Linked DNA regions of Struthio camelus. The protein of the gene in region 2 binds, or shares a complex with, the protein of the main gene of each other region. Links are inferred from orthologs where the notes say so. Each region holds a gene or a part of one and is shown on either strand. Other genes may lie near its edges.

What was found.
Region 1: the proteins of ITGAV (region 2) and ITGB6 are in contact, whole or in part, in a crystal structure (PDB 9CZA), measured with the Homo sapiens proteins. The link is inferred for Struthio camelus from reciprocal best matches to the Homo sapiens genes ITGAV and ITGB6. Residues at the interface, in NP_002201.2 of Homo sapiens: Tyr48, Phe51, Lys72, Trp123, Leu141, His143, Gln150, Glu151, Arg152, Pro154, Asp178, Ala179, Phe184, Gln186, Phe189, Pro204, Tyr208, Trp209, Asp249, Tyr251, Tyr254, Pro274, Arg275, Arg278, Thr279, Met302, Ala303, Tyr305, Phe308, Pro328; in NP_000879.2 of Homo sapiens: Ser183, Pro184, Phe185, Lys187, Thr188, Thr189, Pro190, Ile236, Asp237, Thr238, Pro239, Asp273, Ser274, His275, Phe276, Gly277, Met278, Asp279, Lys281, Leu282, Ala283, Gly284, Val286, Pro288, Glu308, Thr311, Ile312, Gly313, Gln314, Ile316.
Region 3: the proteins of ITGAV (region 2) and ITGB8 are in contact, whole or in part, in a cryo-EM structure (PDB 8TCF), measured with the Homo sapiens proteins. The link is inferred for Struthio camelus from reciprocal best matches to the Homo sapiens genes ITGAV and ITGB8. Residues at the interface, in NP_002201.2 of Homo sapiens: Tyr48, Phe51, Trp123, Leu141, His143, Gln150, Glu151, Arg152, Pro154, Phe184, Gln186, Phe189, Pro204, Trp209, Asp249, Tyr251, Tyr254, Arg275, Arg278, Thr279, Gln301, Met302, Ala303, Tyr305, Phe308, Pro328, Leu329, Met331, Ser335, Asp336; in NP_002205.1 of Homo sapiens: Ser197, Pro198, Ile202, His203, Pro204, Arg206, Ile250, Asp251, Thr252, Pro253, Thr287, Ser288, His289, Leu290, Ala291, Leu292, Asp293, Lys295, Leu296, Gly298, Val300, Pro302, Glu321, Ser324, Leu325, Gly326, Gln327, Glu330, His349, Trp350.

What each region holds. Positions count from the first base shown.
Region 1 is NC_090947.1:27,361,962-27,369,538, reverse strand, and holds the start of ITGB6 (integrin beta-6), read right to left. Parts: upstream 3,037-7,577; 5' UTR 2,973-3,036; intron 966-2,972; 5' UTR 900-965; intron 1-899. UniProt on the Homo sapiens protein: Integrin alpha-V:beta-6 (ITGAV:ITGB6) is a receptor for fibronectin and cytotactin. It recognizes the sequence R-G-D in its ligands. Internalization of integrin alpha-V/beta-6 via clathrin-mediated endocytosis promotes carcinoma cell invasion.
Region 2 is NC_090947.1:16,213,978-16,221,661, forward strand, and holds the start of ITGAV (integrin alpha-V), read right to left. Parts: upstream 3,032-7,684; 5' UTR 2,922-3,031; coding exon 2,770-2,921; intron 1-2,769.
Region 3 is NC_090943.1:35,762,285-35,769,453, reverse strand, and holds the start of ITGB8 (integrin beta-8), read right to left. Parts: upstream 3,064-7,169; 5' UTR 2,982-3,063; coding exon 2,852-2,981; intron 1-2,851. UniProt on the Homo sapiens protein: Integrin alpha-V:beta-8 (ITGAV:ITGB8) is a receptor for fibronectin. It recognizes the sequence R-G-D in its ligands.

The DNA.
Region 1 (7,577 bases), about 11 Mb from region 2:
TTCTCAACGTTCGGTCCTTCAGCCTTTTTTCCTACAATGCGAGCTGATAAAAAGTTGCTTCAGCCAAGAAATGACTGCATTTCCACAGACATTAAAATGCCTTCTGTTTTATAAATGGAATAAATAATGAAAATGCATGCACATACTGTGTCTCTATTTGCCTCGAATACAATCTTTTTGGCTTGAAATTATGCTATAATAGTGCTGCTGACTTTACATATATAAGGCAGATTTAAAATAGTTTCAGTTTAGAGAAAAATATTTTTGAATGAAATAGGTAAAGTGAAATCTTGAATATACTTTTGAACTTGAGTAATTGTTTATGAGATGTGTCATCAGTTCTCCTGGAGGTAGTTTAGTCACTTTGAGTTAATCATTAACTGAAACTATGTGAAAACCTATTCAAAGCCAGCATACAATGAAGTGTTCTGTTAGGGAAGAAATGCAGACATTGAGTCATAGTTGTCAGTTATTCATTATACTTCAGTCAATTATGATGTGATTCTTTGCAACCTTGTTCTTGCTTTTGATTTCTAGTGTGTTACTGGTCTGGTGGATGAGCTTCCCTAAGTTGGTGCAAGATCCTGCTCACCCTAATCAGGTGAGACACTTGAATGTCTAACCACCATAAGGTAACTACACTATTTTAAAACTATGTGGAAAACAAAAATGAGGGTAAAGAGGTTAGTGAACATAATATTGTTCAAGCTAACAATTACCATGTGAGACAGGAGAAAAAGAAATATTAGAAGTACAGTTCTGCGCATGGATTGCTCAATGGCACAAGAAGCCTCATTGACAAAGTCTAGCAGCCAGTGATATAATTTGTTCCCGAAGAGGGACATGGCATTTATTCATGAAGAATGAAAGCATTAGAAACGTCTACATAGCTTTAGTACCTGAAGAACCGATTCACAACTAGAACAGGTGACCATGCCTGGTTCATAAGAATGATTCAGGAGTAACTGTGGAGAAAAATAACAATGTTATCATAAAATCTGCTTTTTTAGTATGCTACTTCAGCAACGCTATGGGCCTGGACATTGCTCTGGCAATGCGTACTCGTAAACAGGTAAAACACACATTGCTGTGGATAACACCCCCCCAACCCAAATTGGTTAATTTCAAAGCCATTGACACTTTGTATCTGGCAGTACTAAAAAACAGAAGAAGATACCACCATTCATTACTAGCTAATAGAGTCTGCAGGAGAAGGTGTGCAAAGCCTGTATTCTGCTGCCAGCAAAAAGGCTGGATGACATCTGGGTTAACAGTGATTTGGAACAGGTATCTGAATGCCCTTATAAATCAGAGAACAATAGCTGTGCTGGGGAACTTGTGAGGGCACACAACAGGAGAGATCAAGGACAAATTCAGACAGGTTAAACGCTGATCGCTCCAGAGGACCATGCATGTCGTTGTAAGCAAACCCTTCAGGGAACACTAAACACACTAAACACCTCATATACTGGAGGTGTCTCTGTCTGTGTTTACTATAGGCAGAGCCAAGGGCAAAACTGGCTCCAGACTTGGGCCCCTCGGGTGCCTACTGCTACACAGAACAAATCTGGACAAAATATAAGCAACAATATAAGTTAACAATATGGTTTGTTAAATAATTTTTTTAAGCCATCTTTCTCAAATTCAAAGCGAGGTATGCTCTCGCACAGTGCATGAATTTCCCTGCATGTAGGACAAGCACAAATGCCCTTTTCTGCCTGCGCCATATTAGACCAAAGGAGATGAGTGCACGACTTATAAGTCAGTCATGATAATGATTTCAAGCAGAGCTATGTAATAGTCCAGCAGAGGACTGAATATGCTAGTAACGTCTTGTACAAAGTACACATTTATCATGATCTGATGAGGTCATCATTTTTCTTTCTCATTTTGTGAAAGTTCTCAATATTTATGGTTTAAAACAATATACAAAAGCAAATAAACCTTTTTGGTCCTTTATTTGGACTGTGATAGGATTTTTAAAACTGGCAGGCATACAACTACCCAGGATTCACGCACAAAATCAATCACATTACTGAGAAAAACATTCATTTTTACCAAGTATCCTTTACCATCAGTTCGCTCACTCGGAGTAATACAGCCTTTTTACTTGACACACAAATGATATTTATATTCTCATGTGTTACCATCTGATTTATTCCTACCACTTTTATATGACTATAAAGTATATGAATATATAATAATGCGTATTTTCTCCCTTGGTTCTTCAAAAAACATATTTTGTTTTCATTTGCTGTGTTTGTGAGTTGAGCGATGGCAGTTTGATTTAGCTAGTGCTTCTGAAATCACGTATTAACAAATCTGTCAAGACTTGGCTTTTTGCTTACATTCTTCTAAGTTCACAGTCTTCATGGTATATAGGATTTTTGTTTTGTTTGTTTTATGATCCTGATACTTTTTTTCCTTCATTGTCAGAGGGATTTTTGAGGAAGATTGTTTGTTGGAAGAACTTGCTCCTGTATTGCAACTAGAATCAGTACAGGCTTAAGCGTAGATACAGCCTCTCAAGCTTCCTCCTGGAGAGCCTTCCTGGCTTAAGAAATCCCTTAGTGCAGTTCTTGTGGGAGATATCTGTCAGCCTCTTTCTGTTTATAATTTCTATTAATACTCCGAATAACAGCCCAGGCACCACAGAGGCCTTGAGTCAATTCTACAAGGACAGCAGGTAAATATTGCCAGAAAAATAACAGCTCAGTGCTGGGAACAGGGGATTTCCAAATCTGAGCCTGAATGCCTTCAGGGAGGAAAGCCAAGCACAGAGGATGAGGAAGTCAGGAAAAGATCAGAGAGGGAGCAAAGTTTACTGAAGCTGATTTTAAACAGCTGACTAAGTTGTTGGCTTTGATTTTAACATCCATTTCTACTGAATCGAATGAATTGCCTTTAGCACAGCACTGTGGGACTGAAGCGGGCAAGAAACAGCTTCTGGCGATGGTAAGGATCATTCTTACCAGCAGGTTTTCTGTCCTGGAGAGGGACGGTCCATGCACAGTCCTACCCTCTAGACAGCTCTGCTAAGGGAGGAAAAAACCCAGTCTGTGCCAGACCTTAATAAGGCACCTCTGCAGACACAGCCAGGACACGTTACCCTAGTAGTGCTGTTCCTGGGTAGACTGCAGGGTGTCATTTCATGAGCAGCTAGCAGTGAATGAAACCTCATTTTGATCAGGCTTAACCTCCCAGCCGACAAGCCTGGAGACCGTGGAGCACTGCTTACACTGTCACAGCCTTGAGGCTGTCTGGGCACCAGCAGTGGGAAATAGGAACCCTAGGAGAGAAACGTGTGCTCAGCTGTGTTCGCCCGCACCCCTGGCAGACAGATGAGAACCACTGCAAGAGCTCTTCAGAGAGTTCAAGAGTTCAGGCTCTGCAGGACCCCTGAATTCACGGCAGCCGCTCTGGTTGTTACTGGCAGAAAGCACTTAGCAAGCAGATTGGAAAGTAAAGTAGTAATCTGTGTTTTCTTATATATAAAATACCAGATAGCAAGTCAGACAAGTTTTGGATGCCACTGAGACGCTGTCCAGGTCACAGCAGTGACTTAAGAGGCATATTTCTGTCTAAACTTTCAAAATGAAATGTTGTTAATGACAGCACAGGCATCTTACGAGTTTCCCCAAATCCCTTCAATCTTAACAGACAGTGTAAATGTTTTAATTAAAGCTTTCATAGAGAAGCAGATCAGAACTACTACATCAGTTTCCTTTCACGGCATGTTTCAGCAAGCTGATGCAGATTGCTAGGTTGATGAGATATATCAATATTATAAGACACACCATGTGTCAGGCCGAACACATTAAAGGCTGACATTAAACTTTCATATGAATCATTCAAACTTACTCAGCCATCCAGAATTGATATGAAATGAAAAGTCTGACTAACAAGTTTTATTATTTTTTTGATTTTGTAGAAGTAGGAGGATGAGGCGCATGAACAGTGGTTCATATGAGATAGCGACTTTAACTCTGCTCATGTAGGAATTGTGCAGACATTTTGATGATGATGGATAGAAATCTACATTGGCATTTTATTGAAGATATCATCATAGCTTTTTGAGAATTAAAATTTTGACAGTTTGATGGGGGGAAAGTCTGTTAAAAGTCAGGTTAAAAAAATCTACATATATCGAAACCCACTTTTTAAAAGAGCTGCCCCCCAACATCTCCCCAAGAGAAAACAGGTAATGTTCAAACTGAACGTCATTTTACTTATTCCTTTTCCTTTTGATTGTCTATTGGTATTGTCAGTTAAATTTTCTTACAAAGATGTTCAGTTGTAAAATCATTTGGGGTTAGATCTCAACCACACAACTCAGTCACAAAAACACAAGTTTACTGCACTGAGTAGTCCATGCCTTTATTGGCACAAACAGCGACCTACAAATGGTAGTTAGTACTTTCAAGATTTTACATTTCCATACTTTGGACAACATTTCATCATGATTCATCATTCTTCATCTATCTTTATTTCTACTGATTTTATTTCTTTTATAGCTCAGCTCTGTCTAGACCAACATGCAATTCCGTACAAGTACAGCTTAATCATAACTAGACATGCAAGCCTCACTGGGCAAATAGGTGATGCTCTCTAAATACTTCTCATCAGATTAAGTTTCCCTTTCTGTCTCAGTAGGATGGAAACATTTTGTTCTCATAAAAAGCCTTTTTTTCCTCCTTATTATAGGATATTGCATGTTGATGAAGTATCTCATGATGAAGTTCACTGTGGACCATTATTAAAAGTTAGTGCTGCAATACCATTACTCATTGCTGCTTCACTTTCTGCATGTTTTTGGTAAGTCTGTGGCACCTCAGAAGCTGCAACTGTCATCAGGGAACAACACAGAAGCATTCAAAGCGCTCTACAACTCTGCTAGGAGCAAGGCGGCCATCTTTCGCCATCCTGAATAGCAGTAACTCTGCAATGAAAAACAACTGCGGCGTAAGCACTAGAGATGGTGGCATAGCAAGAGAAGTGCTGAGAGCATTGCAACCAGAGATATAAGTAACAGGCCTATTCGTAGAAGTGTTTTTCCCTAGGGGATGGAGTCTTGCGGGTGACTTCATTAACTGCTGACAGCAGGCAGACCGCCCTGTGCTGGGAGTGGAAGGGAAACAGTCATCAGATGGCCCCAGCCACAACCGAGGAAGTGCACAGAAAGATAACAGACAGGTGAGGTGCTTTCCTCACTATTCAGAAGAAGTTAGTCACATCCCCGAATTTAATGCTCTATCCCTTTCCTTTTGATAAAGCAATCTTTTTGTTTTACATGCAGACTCGTGATTTGCACAAAGGGTGCTTTTGTCAATTGAAAGCACTCTTGCAGTCTCCCCAGGTTTCTGAAGGTGGGGTCTGAATTCTCTGTCTGTTGTCCATTGTAAGCAAAATCCCAAAATATCTTGGCATTTGTTACTTTTATTAGTCAGGCGAAGACACTTACCAAACCTTATTATCTGCCATTCAATGCCATGTTATATTAGACCTCTCACAGTATGTGCAATAAAACTCTTGTCACTGTGCAGCCAGCAGGACATATGCTCTCTTTGGTCTCTCTAGCACACTTAGTTACAGAAATGAGGACCCATAGCCCAGATGTCCTATTCCCTTAGAAATAGTGATCCCCAGACTATTCACTAACTTAAAAACATCCATCCCTACTGAACCTGCCTTGAGGCTGCTTGGTGTTTACCTGAAGGTGCTTTCTGCACTTAGAAGATTAATCGCTAATACAGCTAATGTAGCTAACAGCTAAACAGTTGACAGTTCAAACATAAGAGTTTCTCTACACAATCACTTCTCACTTTGCTCCAACATAAATACAGGGGGAAAAAAAATGTCGCCTTACCTCATGTTCCCCACTACACTTGAGCATCCTCCAGCTGTGGAGCAGACCTCCTCAAGCTCACAACAGTCCTTGTGCTGCGGCTCAGCTTTCCGCTGGATCTCAGAGAGTCTCTCTTCTCCGCGTCAGCTGCCTTGCCCTTGCCAGCCCCGCAGCTGAGCCCCCTCTGTAAAGGGACACTGCTGTGTTACTCCTTCTAACTTAGCTTTCCTCTCCAAATGCTCCAGATTCACCTGGTGTCTGTGTTTCAGAGATTAACTCCTTGATTATGGTCTTTCTTTAGTAAGTTTTCTACTCTCCAAATGCTGTCTCCTGTAGAAAGTTTCAAGAAAACTGGTCTAAAATGCCATTTTTCAAAAGTCCTATTCTTCCCAGAGGGAACACTACTAGTCTTTCTTTAATAACCAACCAGGCTATTTATAGGAATGGTGACAGTGTGTCTATCTCCCTAGTACAATGAGCATGAGGCAGTCCACATGAGCCATGACAGAGGCTGTTCATAAAATCAAAACTGCGATTCATACGCTGTATATCAATAGTGATTTAAGCAACCACTTTCTTCCCTCACACCAGATGGAAGAAATAAGAGCCCTACTAGCAAAGGACACATAGCATAATCTCTCTCCCAGACTGGAACAATTAGTCCATTGCTTTAGAGAATCATGTTGAAACTACTTTGATTATTAAAAGTTTTCTATTTATTATAATACTAGGTCATTCTAGGATAACGAGGCAGTGCTTCCCCCTCTACCACACTTGCTTTCTACTCAGGTCACATGCCCTTTTCAGGGGTGTTTTTTTCCCCCCCCCATAAACTGTATTGTAGGTCCATATTAACAGACCTAAATTAGGCCCTTTCATCTAAGCAGAACACGACAGTTTGGGGATGAACAACAAAAGAATCCCAGACAAACCTGAGCCAAAGCCAGAAACGGCAGGGAGGCAGAATTTGCTTAGGCTACTAGCAGGCGAGGAAGGATCAGTATCCACAGGTTGAGAGTTGGAAGACCAACATATAAGGGTCTCATCTAAGGTACTAACTGGGAAATGGAGCACAAAGAGCAGAAGTGTCCCAGTACACCTAGATTATATCATTTCTCTGGGCTGGAGGTGAAGGGCTGGGGAAAGCACTGAAAGGATTGCAAAAGCAAACAAAGAAGGCACGGATGGGCTTAGGGCTCTACCCTGGGATCAGGGAGGGAGGTAGAAGAGGAGTGGAAAGACCTGAGAAGAAGCAAAAGGGGGTTTCCTCAGAGCAGTGCCATGAGCTGCTGCAGCCAGGCAGCACGTGGGCCCAGTGGGGCAGCTGGCCACCTGCCCCTCGCCCCAGCCAGAGACCCCCCCGCTTCCCCTCTACCATGAAGGGCAACAAAACAACTACCCCATCTCTACCAGACCTGGGCAGGAAGGTAACAGCCACTTCAGCTACCCCCACCCTTCCCCATTTCCCACCAACAGCTGCCCCTGCCCAGAGGGGCCTTTTTGGCCATGGGTGCACAGGTGGGGAGGCAACGAGGCCCCGCGTTAACTCCTTCCTCGCTGCCAGCACGTGGGGCGCATTACCACAGTAAAAACGCAGAATATTGGTCTTCTTCCCTCCCTGTCGTTGAAGAAACGAAAGCCCCCGGAAGACCCTGTTCACCTGGCACTCGCGCATCGCTCTCTGGGGGCGGGATGGTGGCACCGTGCGGGTCCCCCAGCCCCCCGCGTGGTG
Region 2 (7,684 bases):
ACATTTAGGCTACTTGGAAATAATTTGTTCCTCTAAGCTGCTACTCATAAACCATCTAGATTCTAAGAACAAGAATTTGAAATGTGGTTATCAACTTAGTTAAAACGTTCTCTCTAGTCATAAGAGAAATACAAATATATGTGTATATATATATATATACACACACACACACATATATATATAATGCCAAAGAAAGAAACATATTAATTGCTGTAATTAAAACCTGTCAGACAGGTGGTGACTTGCCTCCCAGTTTACTCTTGATTACTGAATATTTATATGTTTGAATATTAGTTTAAAAAATTCATTTCCATTCTAATCATATACTTTAAATCTTTAAGATAATCTTTGTGAAGGTTAAGACAAAAGGAATCATTATGATTTATGAATCCAAAGATTCAGTCACCTCTTTTCCCAAGGGGTGAGAAAGGGGAGGGGGGGGGAGGGAAGACATGAGTGGATTTTGCCATTGGGCTTATAAAGCGCCAGTAATATTAGAAAGAACGCTTGCTATGTACAAATAAGTCCCTAGTCTGGGTACTTTGGGGAAGGGGAACATAGTCGTCATTCCTATGGGAATACAAAGACTACGTTTTGGTACAACAACCTGCCCAACATGCTGCACACAAGACTGGGAGTATATTCACATCCTCAGCAGTTTTAGTTATATGAGTGTACTTATTTATAGGAATAATCGTTCACCAGTGCTTCGCCGTGTGCCAGTGAAGAAGATCATGTATTTTCATATCCTTGTATGCTAGAAAGACAGATTATCAAATGCAATTCTTCTAGAGTACAGCACATACGAAAGATATTTTTTAGTTTTTATAAAGTCAAGTTCAATCATGTCGTTTCATAGCTATGTCGTCTGCCAGGCACTATATAGTATCCTGATACAATACTACCATTTTGACTCCCAGAAAAGTTCTTTCGTATTGGACTTCTAAACATACTTTATTTTGGTATCCAGTAGGTCAAAACAGATTATAAAACAGAAGCATGAGCTTTCAGGTACTACTAATACTCATTTGTTGTAAGCCTAATCAATGCAGACTGCTTTAGCCAGACCAAACTTATTTACTTTCTGCTGTTCTTTAACTGTTTCATGTAAAGAACAGGTGATAAATCACAATTCTTCAAAGCAACAGCAAAGGTGTGGGAATCAAGTAACCCACATCACAAGTTTGACAGAAATCGTGTAACAAGACTGATTTTAATAAATGTCTTTCGCTAATCATGCTGCAAAACAGTTCACTCAAGTTCTCTACAAAACATTCAACTGTAGACATCTCTCTAACTTGCTGTCCATCACTACCTGTCTCTGCCCTTCAATAGCTTAGGAGAGATTCAAGTATTCCAGTCTGCATTTCGTACTTGCTGCCTCTCTTATAAGTCAGGAAGAGCCATGGGCCTGTGTCTGCAGGATGCTTCATACAATTATTTATTTATTTCCGTAAGCAAAAAAAAAAAAAAAAAAAAATCGGTCTCCATATGTTGAAACTTAACGTTTACCACCATTAGAGCCTGCTCCTGTAAAAGCTGCATAGCTGCTTTGTTTTAATCGTGTGGATAAATATAAGATAAACTATGGTACTACAATTTAGTTTAGGAGATACAGATTAACTTTTATTCAGATCTAAAATTAAAAAGAGAAAACATCCTTGAAAATATCAGTGTGTGTCTCAGGCAATCTGAAACACTCTAGTGTTCAGAGTTGCAAAAAGTCCTATTTTTTTTGCAGCCATGCGCTTTGAGGTCAATAGCTATTAATAACATAGGGGAAAGATTCCAATCAGTGACGTCAGCGACAGCTGGGTGACATAACTCCTTATTAGAAACCAAGGAAGAGGGTTTACTATGTGCGTTTACCAGTCTCTTAGGAACTCTGCAGCCACACATGCTGAATTAAAAATAAAGCAAGAAACAAAAATAATTTGTTTGTAAACAACAGGATTTACAGGATTAAGACAGCAGAGAAAGATGTTGCAACACACACAAGCCAAGGCAGGATGATCTCTAACGTTGTAGGCAACAAAGAAACGCAACCAAGGCTGGATGATGTACTGCAAGGAGTCTTGCTCAACAGCTACAGAATTTGCTTTAAAAGTCTACAAGATTTAAAAAAAAACAAAATAAAAGGCAGAAGCAAGATGGAAAATCCTCTCAGCCTGACGAAACCCAGTAGGCTTTTCCAGCTGTAAAGTGCTTCCTTAAGATGGGGCAGGAGGAAAAAGGTGGCAAAACCTAGCCCTGAAAGCAGCCCGCATCCAGGCACCAGAGGAGCCCCTCACAGCAAGAGGCAGACCTCACAGTTCAGCGACCCGACCGCGGGACAGCGCGGGCGCACCCGCCGCTGCAGCTTTCGCTTCGGAGCGCCGCTTAACCCGACGCTACAACATGTTCAGGAAGCACATGGCGGGGGGGGGGGAAGAGATATTTTTAGGGAACTTCCCCTCCGGCCGAGGCCTGGGCGGGCTGCCCGGACCCGGCGCGGCCGAGGCAGCCCCGGTGCGAGGCGCAGCGCGGGAGCGGGACAGCAGGTCTGCCCGGGGCCCTCACGGGACGCCCCCGGCCGCGCCGCGCCGCTCCGCACCGCTCCGCGGATTTCCCGTACGGCGCTCGTCGCCGCTTCGCGCACGGACCCCGGGCGCCGGCTCCCGCCGCCCCCCGCCGCCTGGGCCGGGCCGGGCCGGGCCCCGCGCTCCCCCCGCGGGCGGCCTGGGGCCGGGGAGCCGCCGCCGCGGCGCCCCTCGCGGGCGGCGCACTTACGAGGAGGGGTCCGGGGCGAAGAAGTCCACGGCGAAGCCGAAGTAGCTGCCCTCGGGGCCCGAGTACACGGCGGGATGATCCGCGTCCAGGTTGAAGGCGCTGCCCGGCGCCAGCCAGCGGCCCAGCAGCACGAGCAGGTACAGCCGCGCCATGGCCCGGCCCGGCCCGGCGCAACGGAGGGGAGGGCAGGGCAGGGGAGGGCGACAGCCGGACCCGCGCCCGTCGGCCCAGCTCGCTGCGCCCGGCGGAGGCGGGGCCCAGCGGCGGCGTCACGGCCGGCCCCGCCCGCGGGTGCCGCGCCGCTGCCGGGCAGCGGGGGGAGGCGCTTTGGGGGGGAAAGGAGGAAAAAAGAAAAGAAAAAACTTGAAAAAATCTTGAAAAAGCACTCGGCCTGTAACGGCTTGTTTCCCTAAGCCACGTAAGTTTTGGAGCTTAGTTTCTGCTGGATCTTGGGCCTTAAAGAGGTCAAGCGCTATTGAGGCGCCTTTGAAATGTTTTGGGGAAGGAGGAGGTAAAATCGCCGGCCCCGGCCCGCAGCGCCCGCGCCCGGCACGAAGCGCGGCCCGGGGCCCCAGCCCGCTCGGTGGCCTGGAAAAGCGAGAATAATTAATCCAGAAAACACAGAACGGCTGGTATGCGATTAGCTCCACGCCATTCCCACCGAAAGGCTACGATTTCAGTTTCGCTGTTTTCACGAGAACGTGATAAAAAGTAAAGAAACTACTGACAAACGGAGACAATGTTTGAAACCCTAAATACAAGTTAGAAGGATCCAATACATATTCATTAAGGGTCGGGGAACCTTGAAAGAACGTCACTGATAAAGTAAGCATGGGAAAAAACGCAAAGCTATACAAGAAAAAGCCTTAGAAAACACACCTATTTTCCAAGCTGTTCAGAAGACTAGCGCTAGCCAACAACTCTCCTAGCAATTTCCCTTCTTATGAAACCAATCATCCTACAAACAAACCACTGCCCTTCATGTGAAAAAACCTGAATCTGTAATTAATGATTTTAAAACTGGCCTCCAATTGCAGATGCGATCATGGCTAGAATCCCAACTTGACACTGGCAGCTGGTGAGGGCTGATGGCTTGGTGTGCTAAGTTACCTCATGGAGAGATTGGGCAGAGACCTTTTTACAGAGATGGTGAATTCTCGTGTAACAATAGCTGGAGCAAGAAGCTAGAAAATCCTGAAGGCACGGTCTGGTTCATTAAAGAGTGGAACTACTCAAAGGTAAGTGCATTTTTATACTCACAGTGTCTGTTAGTCTCCAGTTCAAGGTACAGCATCTTTCTACAATAGGGGTGTGCCTCCCCCAAAAGTTTTGAACTTGATGTAGGGAGCACTGGGGAACTTTTGGATTCATATTCTACAAAGAGATCACACTATCACAGGAGTTTGACATCTGTTAAATTGACTGTAAGTTGACTTGTGCATGCTCAGCAGCTCTAAAAATCACGTGCATCAGGCAAAGCTAACAAGATTTGGAGCAACCAAAATTGGAAGGTACTTTTTGAAAATGTTAGTTTTCAATGAAAATAAAAAAAAAAAAATCAAGACTACCAGTAGGCAACTTACTACACTAAGCGTAATGTTTATAAAGAACTGCTAATGAATCCACTGAACAAGAGAGACATGATTTCATAAAGTATTCCTGATTTTTTTTTAAAATATAATGGACTTAATTCAATGCAATTAAAGTAATACATTAAAACATTGAAAAAAGTCCATTTAGCATTGCCTTTCTTCTTTTCATTTTAGTGAGTTATTCCTCACAGGAGACCTAAAGACTTTTCACAAAAGAGGGAAGTGTGCTTTCTTCATCAACAACTACTTCATGAATCACGTTTCAGGATTAGTATATTTCCTCCTTTCCTTATTTAGTAAGGTCCAACCAGCCTACATTCACTAATACCATGATATTTAGGCATATGAGTTTAAAAAAAAAAAAAAAAAGACAAGAAAAAAGCAATACTTAAAAGGATCCCCATGGATCCTCGCTGAACATTGATATTGGGTGATCATTTTATTTTTCACTAAATTAATAAAGTTTCTTTAAAACAAAAACTTCAGTAGCATTGTACCTTAATAAAGTCAGATTTTATGTTAATATACAACCTAAATTAAATAATCTTGAAGCCAACAGAAAATATGATAGACTAAGAGAAGGTGGCTCAGTAATGGCAACCTTTAAAAGTTTTCAAACTGGATGCAAAACATGTAAGAATTCTTGCTACATAAAGTAGCAATATTGTACACTATAGATTCTTGGCAAGTCTACTATTACTTACCTATTGTTGAAATACTAAAAAAAAAAATTAAGTACACCTGGAAAAATTACCAATATTTGGGGGCGGGGGAAATATTGGTAATACTGCATAGAAAGTGGGAGAGGATTTCAAAATACATGGTTTTCATTTAAAGTGGGTTGTGATTTTTTATTAGAGTTTAAATTTAATTTTAAATAATTTAAATAATTTAAAACTGCTTTATGTCTGGACTGTTTCCTCCCAGCTAGACTCTACGTGTGTAACTGATAAGCTATGTTAAAGTGTTCACTGACTTGCATAACCCTGCTGTACTGTTTGTTACTCCAATGTAAAAACAGTAAATAATACATATTTTTCCATCAAAATACTTATTTTTTAATATAGCTTTTTCATCAATGTCGTGTCTTACAAGGAAGAAAAAGAACCCAAACATTTCCATTTATTCATCTCACAGCTCTCCTGTCTGCAGTTAAGTATTAACGTAATACCACAGCTTGATAAACAGCAGTTTGTGTTGCAGTCACTTGTTCTTACTCCCAGGCAGTAGTAATTATTTAAGGCAGCCATCTCAAGAAAATGTATTATTCTATTAAAGTTAGGAGGAGAGTTCCTATACTGCCTTGAGATTTGTTGCTAGTTTTCCTAACTTTATGTTGCATCTTGATAGGTAAAAATCATTAATAAGTTCAACTTTTATTGTTATTTACTGACTACTTCTATTCTCTCAGCTGCTATACTACTACTTTATCCAACTTGATCAAAGCACTTGAGATGGGTTAAGAAGTTCCCAAATGCTAGCAAATGCACACTAATAAATAAAGAATGGAGTATTTCATGTGTACTTTAATCAGTGAGTCAGTAGTTAAAGAAAATAAATCTTCCTTTTCCTCACTTGGTCATATCATTTCACAGCGTTATCTGAGAAGTAAAGGATACGTGTATTTTTAAGGCACGAGCCATTTTAACAAGCAATAAATTTTAGAAATGAAGTAAGGACTGGCTGTGCAGTGCCACCTCTTATTGTCAGTAAAGCAAATCACTAAAGGACAGGCTAGAGCAATAATTCAGACATTACATAGAATCAGAAGTCGTCATCCCTAGGGGTAGAATAACTATCTTCAAACCATTTCCTCTCTTTAAGAAGACACGTTCTTTTTCAAAAGCTATTTCATGCATACCTCCTTTCTACTTCCATTGGAGTTTAGAAAGGTAATAAAGCCTGTTACTTTCCTGACTCAGCAATGAGTGTCCTGCTCCTCTCCCTCCAAGTTTAGTCCCCAATTGGAAACGGAAGCTGTGGAGTCATTGCTGTCTAGGCTTAATTCACAGCACAAGAGTCAAATCAGTCTAGACAGTTTGAGAGTGTAGCCCTATCTCCCTATATGGTATTACTACCCCATCCTCAACATGGGAAAAAGTGAGATCTGGATGCTTGGGATTATACTTACAATGAGTTTAGAAAATTGTTTTCTGTTGCAGAAAAAAACCTGATGATTTTATTGCTTGCACTGTTGTTATGCCTGACACAATCCAAAACCAAAGGAATGAAAACCTAAAACAGACTCAGAAGAGTTTCAAGCAAGAAATACTCTACCAGTGGAGATGTGATTTTTCTTTGCTAGCTTGTTTAATTCTCAGCATGGCTAAAAAAAAAAAATAAACAATAGCTACTAAGATCATGTTGCAGACTGTAAGCAAACAAATTATATGCTTCTATATTTACTTAGCTGTTATCTCCACTGTTAGATTTATAGCTACTGACTAAGGTATTCAGGAATGAAAACTAACCACCAAGAAGTGGGCAGAAGACCTCAAATTTTTTTTTTCTTTAAACAAGATATTGATTTTATGTGTAACTGAATAACATTATTTTGGAATTATTTGGACTCTTAAGAACTGCCTTTCATTATTCAACAGATAAAACTCATTTCCTATTAGAAGTTGCTAATCTTGCCAGTTTTTCCTCATGCAAGTAGTCATTAACACAGGTGACTAAAACTGCAAGATGCAAGATATGAGCTGCGTTTTTGGATGAAATGTACTTCTTTATTTATTTAGCTATTCCCAAGTCCGCAGCCTGTAACATAGACAATTGTAGAATATTTCTGCTTTGTGACTTTCTCTCTCCTACTTACAACGTTATACTCGGCAAGAAACGGACAAAGTCCTGTGACTAAATAGAGGATATGAACGCGTAAGGCACAATGCTCCTCCTTAAAGGCTCTGTAAGATGTTCTTTTGTGTACATCTTTCATGTATATGTGTGATAAGCTTCAGCCTCTTAATGGATCCAGTGCTTTACTGTATCAGTAGCATCAATGTGTGGAAAAAAGAGAGGATTACTACTGATTTGTTACTAGATACTACTATCAGTCTCCCAGAAAAGCCTTCACTGATGAGAGTTTTAGTACATATTTTGCTCTTGTGCCATCCAGACACTTGGACTTGTGAAGTAGCTTACTGCCTTGAACAGATCTTTAAGGAATAAGTTGGTATCTAACATGGCAGTAGAAAGCAAGCTTAACTTAGCCAAAAATAGACATTATCTATCATTTTGCTTTGGTCAGTTGTGCTTTTTATTTCTATTATGTCTAATATTAATCTTCAGTGTTCATTTTCTTGGAAAACCATGAAAGCACT
Region 3 (7,169 bases), on a different chromosome or scaffold from region 2:
CTGCGTGAGCAGGGAGGTTGGACTAGATGACCTCCAGAGGTCCCTTCCAACCTCACCCATTCTGTGATTCTGTGAAAGCACCAAACACCTTATTATTCAAATTTTAATATACACAAAAACATTTTTGAGGCATTGCTCAGATTTGTACCTGTGTTTTATTTTAATCTTGACCAGTTAATTATTCCATAGTATTTTAGTCTTAGATATTTCACATGCTTACATAGCAGATAAAAACTAAAGAATTTTATCTGTTTAGTTTCTGAACAAGCCAAGTGAACTGACTTTCTCCACCGAAGTCAATAGTTACACAACGGATCAACAGAATACATATACATGGTCTCACTGCAAAATTCAGCTTCTATTCACCTCATCAGTTTACTTATTTAGTTGTTCACTTTTTAGTATTCCATAATAAATCTGGGATCTGCCTAAATCACTATGAGGCAAATTTAATTTTGAAGTAGTTCCATTCTTATGTCAGGTATTTGTTTTAGTTGGCTTAGTAAGCTGCAAATTTCCTATGGTAAGACTGAACAAGGGAGCCTTTGTAGAAGGCTGCAATACTAACCTTTTATCTGAGCTTACAGAACATTTAATTTGGGACTTGCAACTTTACAGTGTTATGAGGTTTCCTTTTGTACTCCTCTCAACTTGAAACTCATATCTCAAACTGCAGTCTGCAATGCAAATAACTCAGGCAGGTAGAATCAAACAATGCATTTTTCAAAAAGAAGAGCAATAAATGCCCCAGCAAGAATGCCTGAATGTCCCATGTAACTTCATATTTATTCACATTTATTTTTTCCTTAAAGAGATTCATTGCAGCAGATACACATGTACTGCCAGCTCTGCAGATAAATTAACTGAACTTGCTGATGGCACATGGAAGAAGCATGATGCTCTGCCATGCCCAACACTGAAGTATGTCAAGGCAGAAAAAAGTGTTGAAACAAGGCTGCGTACCAAATAGCTATACAAGGAGCTGCTGCCTGGAGCCTCTGTAAGAGCAACCTTCAAAGAATTCAGGTGTGCTGCACTGGCTCATAGAGCTAATGCAAACAGCACCCCCCCCCCCAAAAAAAACCAAAACAACCAAAAGCCCAGACAAACAAACAAAAAAACTCCCTCCAAAACATTATTCATGTGTTCATTCAAGGAAACAAAGCAAAACAATCTTCTTGCTTCAAGTATGGCTCTAGCCCGTAAAGTGATTATGTATGAAGGAAAGAATTCAGTGTGACTTTCAGCTTTCATGAATTAGAAGAGGTTTCAAATAAAGAGGAGAAAAACAAGGTCTCTTTGAGTTACAAACTGTCTGCTGACACAGGAGCTGCTGGAACCCACGGCACATCATTCATGCTTATCTTCACTATCAAGCACAGCAAAGGGAGAAAGCACCTTTCTGGAGCAAAAGCACTGTGAATGATCCTCACCTATGTTACTCTGTTCTCACAGGACAGAATACTATTTGTACTGTGAACGAGAACCGCATTTGTTGTACTATGTACTACCCAGGAGCTACAGTTACGAGCAAGGACACATTGCACTGAGGCACAAAATTGCCTTCTCCATAAGTTTCCATTAGCCTTCAAACAAAATTACATTGCATAGAAAATAATCTGGAATACTAAATACTAGATGTCCTGTTTCGTAAGAAATTTAATAATAGTACATTTTATTTTTCCTATTGACATTTACTTTGGTTTTGAACTCAAAATATGAAGCCAAAAAAGCAAAATAAATTATGTTACAAAAGCTGACAAATCATTCTGTTGTTACTTAACAGCATTGGGCAAATCTGGCTGAATTAGACACAAACCTGTCACATATGCATTAAGGAACTTACGACTAATACATTGTTCCCATTATAAATCTTAGAGGTTACAACTTAACATTTTAAAATAACTCCAGGCTTAAACTTGGAATATGTATTTACTCCACACAGGAGAAAAAAAAAAAGAAAAAAGAAAAAAAAAGAAAAAAGGGGGAAAGGTGATTAACAACTTGATCTGCATTTCTGATCACCACTAGTTAATAAGACTGTTTATGAAATACTTGAGTAGTACGACAATGGATCAACAGATGTGGCTGACACACTGTTGCAGGATCTGAGGTACATTTGCAAGAACTCCTCTCAGAGTGCGTGCATGAAAATCCACACTGAGGGCAAGGATAGTTTAAGAAGTTCTTTCACAGTTTGAGCTTTTATCTGCTATAACCTCAGGGCTTGTCACCGCCAGTACAACATCTACCAGGGAACTGTCAACACACGTTATCCCATTTTGAGAGGGTAAAGGGAAAGAGCAAACAATCTTCCCCTAATTCTCCCCGTTCTAAACCTCAGCACTAAGCACCGTGTAAGTGATGTAAAAATGAGTGTTTTCATCCCTAAGAACTGCCCATCCGCAGCTGGTGACCGCCGGGGGTCTGCGTGCCGCAGCTAGGAGGTTTGCAGAGGGCAGCGGGGTAAGGCAGGGGTCCCCAGCGCCCGCAGAGCTCCCTCTCCTCGCGGGAAGCCCCTTAAGGCTCCAAAAAAAGTTGAACACCCTTGGGTTAAATCGCTTGCACCAGCCGCACGAAAGCAGCCAGAAGTCACGGCTACGCTCTCCGGGGCGCAGGCGGACTCCGAGCGAGCCCTGCCTTTTGCGGCGGCCGCTTCCGCGGCAGGTAGCGCTCCGGGCGCACCTGGCCCGGCCCCGCAGCCGACGGGGCCGCTGCGCCGGCGCCTCCGGCCGCTGTCAGCGGCGCCAGGGGAGCTCCGAGCCCGCTGCCCGCCCCGCGGCAGCCGCCCGCACCCCGCCCGCACCCCGCGGGAGGCGGCGCGCAGCCCCGGGCGCACACGGCAACTTACGGCGCTGGCAGAGTCCCGGCGCGGCCGCCAGCAGCCGGGCCGCCCCGAGGAGGGGGCCGGGGCCGCGCTGGCACTTCTGCACGGAGACGATCCCCGCGGCGAGACACGCCAGCAGCGGCACCCACATCATGCGGCGCGGGCGGCACCTCTCCGGCTCCCGCTCCCGCTCCCTCGCCCTCTCGTCGTGGCCGCGTCTCGGCGGCGCGGCGCGCTCAGTCCCGTCCCCCGCGGGGGCGGCGGCGGCGGCGGGGCCGGGGGAGGGGCGGCGGCGGCGGCGGGCCCGGCACAGGTAGGGCGCGGGGCGGCAGCGGCGGCGGCAGGGCGGGCGCGGGGCGCCGCATCTCAGGGGCAGCGCCCGCCGCCCCCCCGCGCTCCGCAAGGGGCGGCCCGCCGGCGGCGGCGGCGGTGGCGGCGGCGGCGGGGCCCCGGCCGAGCGCGGCGAGCGGCTCCCTCCATCCGCCTCCAGCCCGGCACACAACGGGCTTTTGTCCGCCCCCCTGCCCGGCCGCGGGGAGGCTCTTGGCACCGCGCGGGGAGAAGCGGCAGGAGCGCGGCCGCCCTCCCCGCACCTCCCTACCGAAAACAACCGCCGCTCGGCCGCTGTCCCCGCCCTCCCCGCGCTGCCACCCCGCCGCCGCCGCCGCCGCGCAGCCCCGCCGGGGCCCCGCGCCGCCCCGCCAGGTGGGCGCTGCCAGGGCCGGGGCGGCGCCCGCTGCCCGTCGTCGCGCCCCGAGCCGCGGCCGGGCCCCCTTCTCGCCGCCGCGGGCCGGGGGAGGCTCCCGTGCGCAGCCGGCCGCGCTGAGCCGGCGCTCCCGCCCGAGCCGCCCGCCGGGCCCCGCCGCCGCCGCCGGTGCGCCCCGGGCCGCGGGTCCCCCCGTTGCTAGGAGACGGCAGCGGGGCAGGTTCCACGCCGGGGCCCGGCCGCCGGGGGGGGGGGTAAGGGGGGAAGGGAGGCGGGGCCGGGCCCGGCGATGAAGTCACTGCGTCCGCCCGAGCCTCTTTGTTCGGCAGCCGCCGGCCCGCGCCGCGGCCAACGGTCTCCGCGGGGTGGGGGTGGGGGGGGCGAGGGCGGCGGCGCGGCGCGGCTCCCCCCCGCCGCCCCGCCGCCGCCTCGCCCCGTGTGGTGGCGTGGGGCGGCCTGTCAGCGGTCTCCGCCTTGCCGGCGCCCGCCGCCCTCCCTGCGTGTGAGGCCTGCGCGGGGCGTTTGTGGGGGCCTCTCGCCCTTGCTGCCCCCGCGCTCTCCCCTGCCTCAGACCTGTCCGCTCCCCTGCCCGGCCCCCGCCGGTAGATCTTCCCCTGGCGCACCCCCCCCCCCCCCGGCGCCGGTTGTCCGCTTTCACCACCAGCTACTTAAAACAACAACAACAACAACAACGGAATAACTTGCTGCCCTTCCCACCTTTTATCGCTCCTCTCACCCTCCCCGAGTAATTTCTGCTCGGAGTTTCCGCCCCTTCGGGCAAAGTGAGAGTAACTCAAAGGTTAATCGTGCCCAGGGCTGAGTGGAAAGTACCTCGCCTTGAAGTGCACGGTGGAGAGGGGGGAAACTCCCTGCCGGTCCCTAGGTGCGTTCTTCCGCGCTGCCCTGAGTCGCAGCCCGGCGCAAGGAGGCCCAGGGCTGCTGGTCCCTGCTCTTTACATTCCTGCTACTTCATTGTTTTCCCCTTCGGGGCTCAGCTCCCGGCGCGGTGGGCACCGTTTGCTGGAGAAGGCGCAGTGTGACATTTTCGAGGCAGGTGACGCACACCTGTGAAAGGTGATCTGTCAAACTGCCATCCCTCCGCTTCGCTCTGGCGGGGTCACAAGCCCCCCGGACGGGGCCGCGGGTGCAGGTACGCCAGGCCGAGCGCCCCCGGGCCTGCGGGTCGAGCACGGTGCTGGTGACAGTGGCCCAGGACCATCACTTCCGTTTTGGTGGGACTGAACAGATGCTGGTGCTCGCCGTATCCCAAAACAGTATCTCCACACGGCATCGCAGTCTGGCTCTGAGGTGTACATCATTAATAAAACATTCAAACGCAGCCAGCATAAATACCGTGCTGTTTCACAAGTCTTGGGGAATGTAAGGTTGTCAGAGCATTTCCAAATCATGTGCTGAAGCCTCACTGTACTAAGTAAAGGGTGGTTTGTTATCTTCGTGTTACAGGGCTGAAACTGAAGGTACATTGGGTTTGTTGAAGGTCGTTGAGGAAGAGATAGCAATGGAACAGTTCTGTACTCCTACTCTTGGAGTTTTTGAACACCACATAATTCTTCTGCTTTGTCTTGGAAAAATCCCCCCATTTAGGACATTTGTCTTGAGTGTCATTCCTCAAGCTGCCAGTGTCTAAATGGGGATACCATATGTGACAAAGCCATATATAATGATGCTAACATAAAAGGGTAGCATCTGTATGACTTCAAATACTATGCCATTCTTCTCCAAAGAACGCCATGATTTCAGAGATCACAATTTAAACTATGTCAGTGGTAAGCTACCATGCCTGTAGGGATACCATGGGAATTAAAATGAATGATATTCTTTGAAATGAGACACATTTGTGGCAGGTGAGATAAACTCAATTCACTCTGATTTAACAGTGTAATGTATAAATCCTGTGTCATGACATTGCAAATTCATGGCAGTTCAAGCATATGTGGAAAAATGGGATCACTATGAGACATAAATAAATTCAAGGAAATATCTTTAAAAAAAAACAGCAGAAGCAAAAGCTGCAGAAAACGAGATTTCTCTACTTTGGAATTTTTGCTTACCTCTTTATCAGATCAGAATTGAAATTATCATAAGCAACATAGCGAAAATATCTCTGTCCTCCACAGCATGAATTATCTTGTGAATTTCTAAGCAGAGGCTATTCACTACAGAAATAGGAAATGCACATACTGTTCCTTATGAGAATGGTGTCCAAGAATTTGGCGTTCTGAACAGACTACAGATACCTATATTCTAAAATGGAAGAGAAAAAAGAATAATTTTCATATAAAATCTGAGACAGATGTAAACCAAATTAACATACTGTAGTCATTAATTTAAATGCCGAGAACATAAAAAAATGGGTAAGTCCTGCATACTAAATGTCACCAGCATCAGGAGTAAAAAAGAAGCCAGGAGCTGAAGGTGCCAATAGCTGCAGCCTGTACCAGTTAAGGCCGCTTCAACTGTTCAAACTCCAACTGTTTGTTGGTATAAAATGCAGCTCCTGCCTACTTCTTTAGCTTCTTTCTTCCTGTGGTGGAAACCAAAGATATAAAAGTATTTATTTATCCTGCAGTGATGGCATCTTTAAATAAATTGCTGGTTAGATAGCGTTAGTAAAGCAATAGTATAAATTCTTTGAAATATAGAGTATATTATTGCTTTACAAATTGATTAATTATTCTAATTTTACAAATGGAGAAACTGAATCATCTAAGGTCACACTTACAACAAGGAATTTAAGACCACTGCACTGGGCCATGAATGCATGAAGTAATGCAATTGTGGAATCGCCATCTTTGAGTTATTCTAAACTCAGTCGGACAAATCCCTGAGCAAGGTGATCTAACTGGATCTGTTTTGAGCAAAGGTCTTTAGAGGTTTATTTCAACAGAAGTTGTTCTATGAATTTGTGTAGTTAAAAGTGAGTAATGCTTTGCTCTTATTCTTCATGTATACTTAATTACTTAAAGTGTTATATATCATTGTGCTTTCTTTCCAGTCAGTATTTACATTTGCTTTACTACAAACGAAATAAAATTAACAATGTATCAAAGCATTGGAGAATAGCCTCTCTTTTCTGGAACTAGTTCTGAAAATTTTGCATCTACAGTGAATATGCATTAGAGGTGGTCAAAAAACCCGAAACATTTTTTACAAAACCATGTTCCTTTTTTGGCTGAGTAATTCCAGCGATCTTTGATGTGCCATTTCCTGGGGGAGAATCCAAACCAACATTGCAAAGGGAAGAGTGATGGTGTTTTACAACTTCTAATATCAAAACTTTTTTTTTTAAATGAAAATTGTATTATGTGTTCATTAGTATGTCATGTGATTTCTTACATTATCGTGGCATGTTATGCACTATTAAAATCACCATAGACACCATTTTGGTATACTTAAATTAATTGCACTTTCCTCCAACTTTTTCACATTTCTATGAAACCTCACTTTGAACTACTATTTTTCATTTAATAATGCACAATCTTTTTGGAATATGGTAATTGTTTTGGATTTGGGAGGTTCACTTGATTCCACTGACATTAACGTACAAATTCTGCTTTCTTTGCTATATAACTGAATAAAAGGATCTCCTGACTCTGTCACACATATATTTGCTGT